Linked DNA regions of Oryctolagus cuniculus. The protein of the gene in region 2 interacts with the protein of the main gene of each other region in a biochemical or structural test. Links are inferred from orthologs where the notes say so. Each region holds a gene or a part of one and is shown on either strand. Other genes may lie near its edges. The genes, in order: UBR7, histone H2B type 1-B and USP51.

Region 1 (3,756 bases), on a different chromosome or scaffold from region 2:
TATGTTTTATTACATGAACAATTATATTAAATTTCACTAATGCACAACACTTTTGGATGAAAACACAAGATTAAGAAAAAAGTACACTTGGAAAAGAATCTAAACATTTAGAAAGCATTCGGGAACAATCTCTATTTACCTTTTTGTGTACAACTCAAATAGTTTATGACTTCCGTGACATTCATAACTGCAAGCTAGGCAAATTCCTGCTGGTTCTTCTCCCTCTGGGGTGCAGGTACTACAAGCATATAGTGCTTGTCTCTTTACTGAGCCCTGACAGCACCAAAATAAAAAGGAAAAAATGAATTAATGACAGAGCATAGTTACTTAATACCTATACTAGGTTCTGAAACAGAATGAAAATTCCTGTGGGTAAGATATTCCTTTAAAAACCACAGTGACAGCTGAGAAAGTTTATACAACGGAGTTCCAAAACACCGTTGTGTGTTTCATATCTATATTAGTGCTTGTGTTCATCCAATTTTTTCTTAAAGTCAGAGGAAGTATAAATGTGTCAATCACCTGTGAATAGTTTGTTCTGCTTAATCATTTAACATATGAAAATGTCAGAGACAGTAAGTAAGATCATACTTTCAATTTTGGAAAATGATTGTAATTACACCAAGGAGAAAAATCAATGCATGCCAAGACTCTTTGGTTATTAGGAAATGCAGGTTGAAATAGTTAGAGATGTAGGGTCATGATGTCTGCAATCTATTTTCAAATGGTCCAAAAAGAAAGCAAAGAGTATAACACACAAAAGAGATGGGCCAGCATTGTGGGTAAGCCCCTGCCTGCTCCCATATCTGATCTGAGACCCAGCGGCTGCACTTCTGATCCAGCTCCTTGCTAATGCACTAGGAAAACAGTGAAAGATGGCCCCAGGGTTCCCACTCACATGGGAGACCCGGAAGAAACCCTGGGCTCCCGGTTTAGTTATGGCCCAGCCCAAGCAGTTGCTGACACTCATGGAGTGAACCAGTGGATGGAAGGTCTCTCTCTCTCTCATCCTCTCCGTTAACTCTTTCAAATAAAAAAAGAAAAAAAAAAACTTAAAAAAAGGAGAGAAATAAAACAAGTGTGGCAAAATGTTAAGCCACCACTTCAAAGACACCTGCATCTCCTGGCAGAGTGAGTCCTGGGTGCTCTGCTCTGCTCCAGCTCCCTGCCAACGTGCCTGGCAAAGCAGTGGAGGATGGCCCACGTGCCTGCATCCCGGCCATCCACATGGAAGCCACAAATAAAGCTGTGGCCTCTTGGCTTCAGGGCGGCCTAGTAGAGTTGCAGTCACTTAGGGAGTGAACGAACAGATGAAAGATCTCTCTCCGGTCTTTCAAATCTTTTATTTACAAAAAAAAAAATAGTTTCAAAGTAAAAAGCTGGAGGAAAAACGACGAATCTCGTGGCGTCTCCGTGCGATGACCCCCCTCTCAGAGGCGGGAGGGCGGCCCCTCAACGTCAGAATCGTCCTCTGTGGAGCTGGGTGTGGGGACAGGCCTGCACACAGGATTCGTGCAAATTCCCCTATGTTTTACTATAAGAAAAGGAACGGATGAATTTCTGTTTTAGGAAGCTAACTGTATTTCACAAACAGCTGACTTTTGTAAAGACTTAGGATTTTTTTTTTCCTAAGTACTTCTAGCGATGAGCAAAGGTTTAAATGCGAGCCAGCGTCTGGGGCCATCTCTGGGTGCCGGGTTGACCACGGTCAGCTCGGTCCGGTCAGCCAGGACAAGGGGTTTATGAGCTCAGTCCCTACCACGGAACGACTGCCCGGCGCTCACGCCAGCCCCTGCCTGGGTCACCCTCCTCCCACCTTGTCCGTTCCCTCCCGGCCCGCGCCTAGACGTCCATAACGAGGCCAGCACGCACGACATCACGCCCCCTGCGGTCCTGGTCCAGGCCAGGCAGACCCTCTTCCCCGGCCGGGACCACCCGCTGTCCCGGTTCCGGCCTTTTCCCGGCGTGGGGCCCAACGCCGACAGCCGCGGCGAGGAGCCCACCCCAGAGCCAGGGCGGCCTCCGGTGACGGCCCCGCTCCGCACTCCCGGGAGGGGTCCGAGAGGTCGCGGAAACCAGCCGAGGCTGCGAGGGCAGGGGCCGCAGCCCGCGAATCCTGAGGAGCCCGACGTGGCCCCGGGGAGAGGGAGGCCCCCGCGGGACGCGGGCTGCGGAGGGACGGGCAGCTGGGCCTGGCAGCGGGGCGGCCGCCCCGGGGGAGGCGGCAGAGCGGGCAGGACGCGGGAGAGTCGGGCCGGGAACAGGGGGTTCCGCCGGAGCCCCAGGGCAGAGGCCCGGGTCGCGCGCCCACCTGCGAGTAGGAGCACTTCTCCGAGTCGCTGCCGCCCAGGACGGCGCACGCCTCGTTCTCCAACTCCTCGTCCTCCTCGAGTACGTCGACCAACGACACCACGGGCTCCAGCTCCGACTGCCGCCCGGCTGACTCCTCAGCTCCGGCCATCCTCAACTGTCACCTGGACCGCAGCTCGGTCCCGGCGGAGGCGGGAAAAGCGGCCGCGAGGGGCGTAGCCGGAGGAGGCGGGGTCTGAGCGCCAAGAGCCAATCCCTAAGGCGGAAACGAAGGAAGGAGGAGGAGCGACTTCCCACCAACGGAAGTGGCTCGTCTGCCTTCTCCCGCCCGCGCTGGCCGAGGGCTGGCTTCCGCTTCCGGGTCACGCTGCTTTGTGGCGCGCTCTTGAAGCTCCGCGGTCGCCATGGAGTTGGTGGGAGAGTACGTGGGGCCGGACGGGCAGCCGCAGAGGCTGCGGGCGCCGTGTGAGTTGCCGGGTGACGCCGACCCCCTCGAGGGCCTGCTGGCGGGCGCGGCCCAGATGAGGGAGCTGGTGTCCGAGCTCTTGGGCCCGCTGGTGCAGCGGGAGACGCGGGACCGGGTGGCGGCGGCCGGAGACGAGGCCTCGGATGGTGAGCTCTGAGAAGGTGCTGGCGCGCCCGAGGGCCGGCGTGGAGGGACGGGGGCCTTGGGAGGAGGAAAGGGGTGTCTAGAAGTTGTTGGCGCTCGCCGCCCCGTTAGCTGGGCTGCCGGCCGCCTGAGCGTTTCCGCGACCCCCCCCCCCACCACGTTGGGGTCAGGATTTATTTTTCTGTAGAGGAGCTTCAACTACTTGGTTTCCGGTGGTGATAATAAATGTAACACTAATAAAAATAACGTAGCTGTTGGCTCTGATCAGAAATCGAGCGCAGGCGTTACGGACGTGAAGAAAGTGGAGGTCTTGGTCAGTGTAGGCGGGGTGTAAAATGGCGTACCCGCTGGGAAAACCGTGTGCTTCCTCAGAAAGCTCGTGGGAGACGGCGCGGTGTGGCTGCCAGCCCTCCGAGAGGCTCGCGCCGAACCTGGAGACGTCCCCAGCGGCCTTGCGCACAGCTGAGGCGTGGAAGCAAAAGATGGCCAGCAGCTGATCAGAGCCACGAGTAGGCAGGGGTGGCTGCACACAGAGGAGTAGTATTCAGCAGTCAAAAGGAACGAAGCGTTGATACACGCCACAACGTGGCCAAACCTGGACACCATGCAGGGTGAAATACGCCGGCACCAAAGGCTCATGCTGTGTGCCTGTATTTCTCTGAAATGTGCGCCATAGGCAAATCCACAGAGACGGGAGGTGGATCGGCAGCTGCAGGGGCTGAGGGGCCGCGGAGAGGAGCGCTCGCGGGTCGGGGGTCCCTTTTTGGGGTGAAGAAAGTACTCGGGAATTAGATGGTGGTGATGGTTGCACGAGCTACTAACACGCACTGAACTGT
Region 2 (2,873 bases):
GGTGTCGGTCACAGTGGCGCGCGAACCTCTGGGAACCACTCCAGAGTCGCTCTAAAGCCACGGCACTGGCCAACCTCCGCCCCGACGCGCCCTGGCCCCTCCCCTCAGCCAGTGGCTGGCCGCGAACCAGGAAAGGCGCGGGATTCAGATCGCATCCTGACTCCAGCCAGTATCAAGGCTCCATTCTTGAGAAAAATCCGCCCCATCCAATAGGTGATCCATGGATTTCTGAAGACTCAAGGACTGCTTAGCCGACGTGATTAGTGGCTACAGGTAGGTAACAGGGAGAACTGCAGGAATTTCACTCCATTTCACTGTCGAGGAGCTGGAGATGTTAGAGGGGGCTCTTCAAAGCTCATGCGAACCCGAGTTCACGAAATGCGCATCTCCCATCACATCGCGAACCCCAGTCCCCGACCCCGACCAAAGTGCCCTAAGGTTACTCAGCGCCGACCTGCACGGGATAAACACGCGTTCTGGGGTCGTCACTAACGCCAGCCCTAACACCCGACCTAAACCCACCTCAACAGGAGCAAAATACAAGGACGTCGGCCACAGCTCTATTTGTGAAAGAGTTGGTGGCTCTGAAAAGAGCCTTTGGGGTGAGGGGCGGCGGCGCCAATTCGGGAGCTCACTTGGAGCTGGTGTACTTGGTGACAGCCTTGGTGCCCTCGGACACGGCGTGCTTGGCCAGCTCACCAGGCAGCAGCAGGCGCACGGCCGTCTGGATCTCGCGCGACGTGATGGTCGAGCGCTTGTTGTAGTGCGCCAGGCGCGAGGCCTCGCCGGCGATGCGCTCGAAGATGTCGTTGACGAACGAGTTCATGATGCCCATGGCCTTGGACGAGATGCCGGTGTCGGGGTGCACCTGCTTGAGCACCTTGTACACGTAGATGGAGTAACTCTCCTTGCGACTGCGCTTGCGCTTCTTGCCATCCTTCTTCTGCGCCTTTGTTATCGCCTTCTTGGAGCCCTTTTTGGGGGCGGGAGCGGATTTGGAGGGTTCAGGCATTGCTTTTAATATTGGCTGAGAGACTAAAACAGACTCAGTCTACAGCTGATTAGTGATGACAGGCCGGAGTGCATATATTTATAGTCCCGTAATTCAAATGAGGGTTTGAGACTTCTCACTTCTGATTGGACAACAAAGAAATTTTCTCTAGGGGGGTTGTTTATGCAAATAAGGTATCCGGGTTGTCTTTTCCTATTGGGCAGAAAAGGCGAACCTATTTCGACCAATAGGATGACGTACTGTAGTAGCCCTGCGCTGCTTATAAAAGCACAGTCTTGGCGGGTATGGTTTTCTTTACTTCAGATTGCGAAGCGTGTTTGGCTGTACCATGTCTGGGCGTGGCAAGCAAGGCGGCAAGGCGCGCGCCAAGGCCAAGACCCGCTCCTCCCGGGCCGGGCTCCAGTTCCCCGTGGGTCGCGTGCACCGCCTGCTGCGCAAGGGCAACTACTCGGAACGCGTGGGCGCCGGCGCCCCAGTGTACCTGGCGGCCGTGCTCGAGTACCTGACGGCCGAGATCCTGGAGCTGGCGGGCAACGCGGCGCGCGACAACAAGAAGACGCGCATCATCCCGCGCCACCTGCAGCTGGCCATCCGCAACGACGAGGAGCTCAACAAGCTGCTGGGCCGCGTCACCATCGCGCAGGGCGGCGTGCTGCCCAACATCCAGGCCGTGCTGCTGCCCAAGAAGACCGAGAGCCACCACAAGGCCAAGGGCAAGTGAAACCACAGTAAAGACGACGCAACTCTCGCTTTGAAATACCCAAAGGCTCTTTTCAGGGCCATCCACTGTTTCACAAAAAAGCTGCTAACCCTGACTGGAATTAGTCCTTCCCATGGTGATAGCGTTAGCGCTTAAGAAAACTGTGGAAACAAGTGAAACGTGTATTTATTGTGACGGATGAAAGGCCACACAGTGACGGGGGGTGTGTCAGTCGGGAAATAGCCCCCGAGGTGCAGCTGTTTCAAACGTAAAACGCGTTTTGCCTTAAGTCAGGGCACCTTTCCGTGGCTCAGTGTTTATCGGGCGCTATTAGACGGCAGGCCCAGGTAATTAGGGATTTCGGGGTCCACGCTAGGGCCTGTTACTGAGGTAATCTCCCTCCACGGTTAGGTACGCTTCTGAGATGGAATGATCCAGATGTTAGAAAACGTCTACCATCCCAAACGGACAGTGGATGAATCCGGCCAATCAGGTTGTCTGAGTGGACCAATCATCGAAGTTCCTCCTTTAGCCAATGAGTTTGTCGCGCGGATTTTTTGAAAATCCGGAAGCCAATCACAGTAGTCCTAACGATATTTAAAGGCAGCTCTGTCGCCGCAGACAAGAAGTTTGAGTCCCACCGGCGCGAGATGGCTCGTACTAAGCAGACAGCGCGCAAGTCAACAGGCGGCAAGGCGCCGCGCAAGCAGCTGGCCACCAAGGCGGCCCGCAAGAGCGCGCCGGCCACGGGCGGCGTCAAGAAGCCGCACCGCTACCGGCCCGGCACGGTGGCGCTGCGCGAGATCCGGCGCTACCAGAAGTCCACCGAGCTGCTCATCCGCAAGCTGCCCTTCCAGCGCCTGGTGCGCGAGATCGCGCAGGACTTCAAGACGGACCTGCGCTTCCAGAGCTCGGCCGTCATGGCGCTGCAGGAGGCCTGCGAGGCCTACCTCGTCGGCCTCTTCGAGGACACCAACCTCTGCGCCATCCACGCCAAGCGCGTCACCATCATGCCCAAAGACATCCAGCTGGCGCGCCGCATCCGCGGGGAGCGGGCGTGAATCCTGTAAGCTTATCGGATTCCAAAAAGGCTCTTTTCAGAGCCACCCACAAACTCACTTGAAAGAAGTTGTAATGACGTCTGGGTGAGGAGTGTCTCTG
Region 3 (2,635 bases), on a different chromosome or scaffold from region 2:
TACAGAGATGGCTGACAGCACAATGAGCAGAGCTGACCACATACCAGGAATCCCCTCACTCACAGACTGCCTCCAGTGGTTTACAAGGCCAGAGGACCTGGGCAGCAGTGCCAAAATCAAATGCAGTAGTTGCCAAAGCTACCAGGAATCTACCAAACAGCTCACAATGAAGAAATTACCCATGGTGGCCTGTTTTCACCTCAAGCGGTTTGAACATGTAGGCAAACAGAGGCGTAAAATTAATACCTTTATCTCCTTTCCCTTGGAGCTGGACATGACTCCATTTTTGGCCTCTACTAAAGAGAGCAGAATGAAAGAGTGTCAGCCATCAACAGATTGTGTGTCCAATGAGAATAAGTATTCCTTGTTTGCAGTGATTAATCACCATGGAACTTTGGAAAGTGGCCACTATACCAGCTTTATCCGTCAACAAAAGGACCAGTGGTTCAGCTGTGATGATGCGATCATCACCAAGGCTACCATTGAGGACTTACTCTACAGTGAAGGATATTTACTGTTCTATCACAAACAGGGTCTGGAGAAAGACTAGTCTTACCAGACCTTTAACCAGAAAAAAAAAATGATTAAGCGAGGATTCTGACATGACACACAAACCTACCTGGAATAGACAATGACTATAATATCCTTATAACAATGAGCAGCTCTTAAAGTGACACAGAAACCTATCTAGACTGGACAATGACAATGACCTAAATGACAACCAGGACTTTGATGTAAAGAACCTATTTTATTATTACCTATGGGTTTGTGGGAGGAAAAAATGAATACTAGTGACCATTTGGGGTAAAAAATGCATACTAAGTAGTGACAATTGAGTCTTAAGAAAGAGGGTGTGAAGAGGTTGAAAATGGTCACATGAAGTATAATTGGATGAAAAAAATTGTCTAGGTGGGGAAGGATAGGAATAGACATGTTCTGACACTACTAAATGTCATTTGTTTCTGCAAAAATATTGTGGGAAGTCAGAGAGTAGTATTCCTTCATCAGCAAAAAGCTTCATAATTGGCATTCCAACTGTGGTTGACCAGCCAAATAGTTTGCAAAACAGAGAATATTTTAAAAGTGAATTTAAAAACCTTTAAAAGCAAAACATTTAAGAAGAAGAAAACAATTTTTTAAAGTTTTAAAAGAAACATTTTTACATGTTGAAAAACTTTTATGTTAAATATTTTTAAAAGAAATTTAAAAACATATTTTTTTAATTTAAGAGAGCTTCAGAATTATTAAAGTAATGTCTAAAAGCAGGGGATTTAGAAATTCTTAAGGTTTTAAGGTAAAATGAGTAAAACAAAGAATAAGGTTAAAAATGAAAATTTACAAAAACATTAAGAGAAAGGAACACTTTAAGAAAGAGAGAAATCTTACATTTTAATTTTAAAATGAAGGAAAATATAAATGGGTATTTTAAAATGAAAGCATAAAGTATCCATATAGAAAGATCAAAGATTAACAGATCTACCACATGATAAAAGTAAACTTTCAAAATATAGAATGCAGTAAAATTCAGATTCTACAGTGATGTTTTAAAAAAGAAGTTTAGAACAACTCAAGATAATTTGTTATAAATTTAAAATTTTAAAGAAAAAATAGAGTTGTAAAAATAGAAAAAGAAACTTAAGTTCAATTTGAGACAATTACATGAAAACTGCTTGAATAAGAATAAAAATAAAATTAAAACTTTTAAAAGAAAAACATTTACATAGAAATTGACAAATGATAGAACAAAAATATTCAAATATAAAAAGTATTAAACAGTTTAAAAGGTTTTATTTTTTATGTAAGCATATTAAAATACAGACGGGTATAAAAAGTAAATAGAAGAGGCAGGAATAGCAAAAGGATTGTCAATATATTTATATTTTTGAGTTTTATGTTGATATTTAAATACAACTTGGAAAGACACTTTAAACCTTATTTACCATTGAATTGTGAGATGGATGCAAGGTCTGAACACTAGCCCACCTTTCTTTTCTCAGATTCCTCACCCCATCTGATTTCCTAAAAAGTAGAGCTACTTGGGTAGAATCAACTGCATCTAAGAAGGATGGAAACATTAGAGCCTCTCCTATTTAGAACTACATTATTCATACAAATTCTTAGCTTCTGTAGAGGGGCTTTTGGTAATTTGGAGGCTTATACAAATTAGAGCACAACTACAAAGTGCTGACTTTCGTGTTTGAGTCTACTGGCCTGATTGAGGAAGTGGCAAGGGCCTGTATCTGAGGACCTACTACTCTTCCCCATTCCACAGGGAGATAAGACTTAATTTCAACAGTATAGCTGTGGGTTTGTATTTGGCAATCCTTTCACTCATTCCTTATTCCATTCACTCATGCCGGGTTCCCTGAGCTCCTCAACTACCTGGCCTTACCTATGTCCCTGAGCTCCAGCCTTCAGGGCCCCTTTCTTAATTTTCACCTGGTAGCTTCTACTTCTCCTTCAAGACCCAACTAACAGATGACTTTCCTGGGGCCTTCCTTGGATGCTTGAGGCAGGTACAAGTTGGAAAATTGTTACTCTCCCCCCACTTTATCCCTTTCACTGTGCCTCCAAAGTACTTTGTCCATACCTTGGTGATAGTACTTTATTATACTGTGATTCTGCTGTAGCTTTG

What was found.
Region 1: of the proteins of histone H2B type 1-B (region 2) and UBR7, one has a biochemical effect on the other in vitro, tested with the Homo sapiens proteins (2 studies listed by BioGRID, with this or other methods). The link is inferred for Oryctolagus cuniculus from reciprocal best matches to the Homo sapiens genes H2BC3 and UBR7.
Region 3: the proteins of histone H2B type 1-B (region 2) and USP51 form a complex in vitro, tested with the Homo sapiens proteins (2 studies listed by BioGRID, with this or other methods). The link is inferred for Oryctolagus cuniculus from reciprocal best matches to the Homo sapiens genes H2BC3 and USP51.

The regions. Positions count from the first base shown.
Region 1 is NC_091451.1:38,186,886-38,190,641, reverse strand, and holds the start of UBR7 (putative E3 ubiquitin-protein ligase UBR7), read right to left. Parts: upstream 2,662-3,756; 5' UTR 2,462-2,661; coding exon 2,312-2,461; intron 274-2,311; coding exon 140-273; intron 1-139. Other genes in the region: EKC/KEOPS complex subunit GON7, read left to right, coding at 2,715-2,922. UniProt on the Homo sapiens protein: E3 ubiquitin-protein ligase which is a component of the N-end rule pathway. Recognizes and binds to proteins bearing specific N-terminal residues that are destabilizing according to the N-end rule, leading to their ubiquitination and subsequent degradation.
Region 2 is NC_091436.1:153,352,369-153,355,241, forward strand, and holds histone H2B type 1-B, read right to left. Parts: upstream 1,341-2,873; 5' UTR 1,013-1,340; coding exon 632-1,012; 3' UTR 576-631; downstream 1-575. Other genes in the region: histone H2A type 1-B, read left to right, coding at 1,341-1,733; histone H3.1, read left to right, coding at 2,363-2,773. UniProt on the Homo sapiens protein: Core component of nucleosome. Nucleosomes wrap and compact DNA into chromatin, limiting DNA accessibility to the cellular machineries which require DNA as a template.
Region 3 is NW_027208318.1:13,018-15,652, reverse strand, and holds part of USP51 (ubiquitin carboxyl-terminal hydrolase 51), read left to right. Parts: coding exon 1-550; 3' UTR 551-2,635.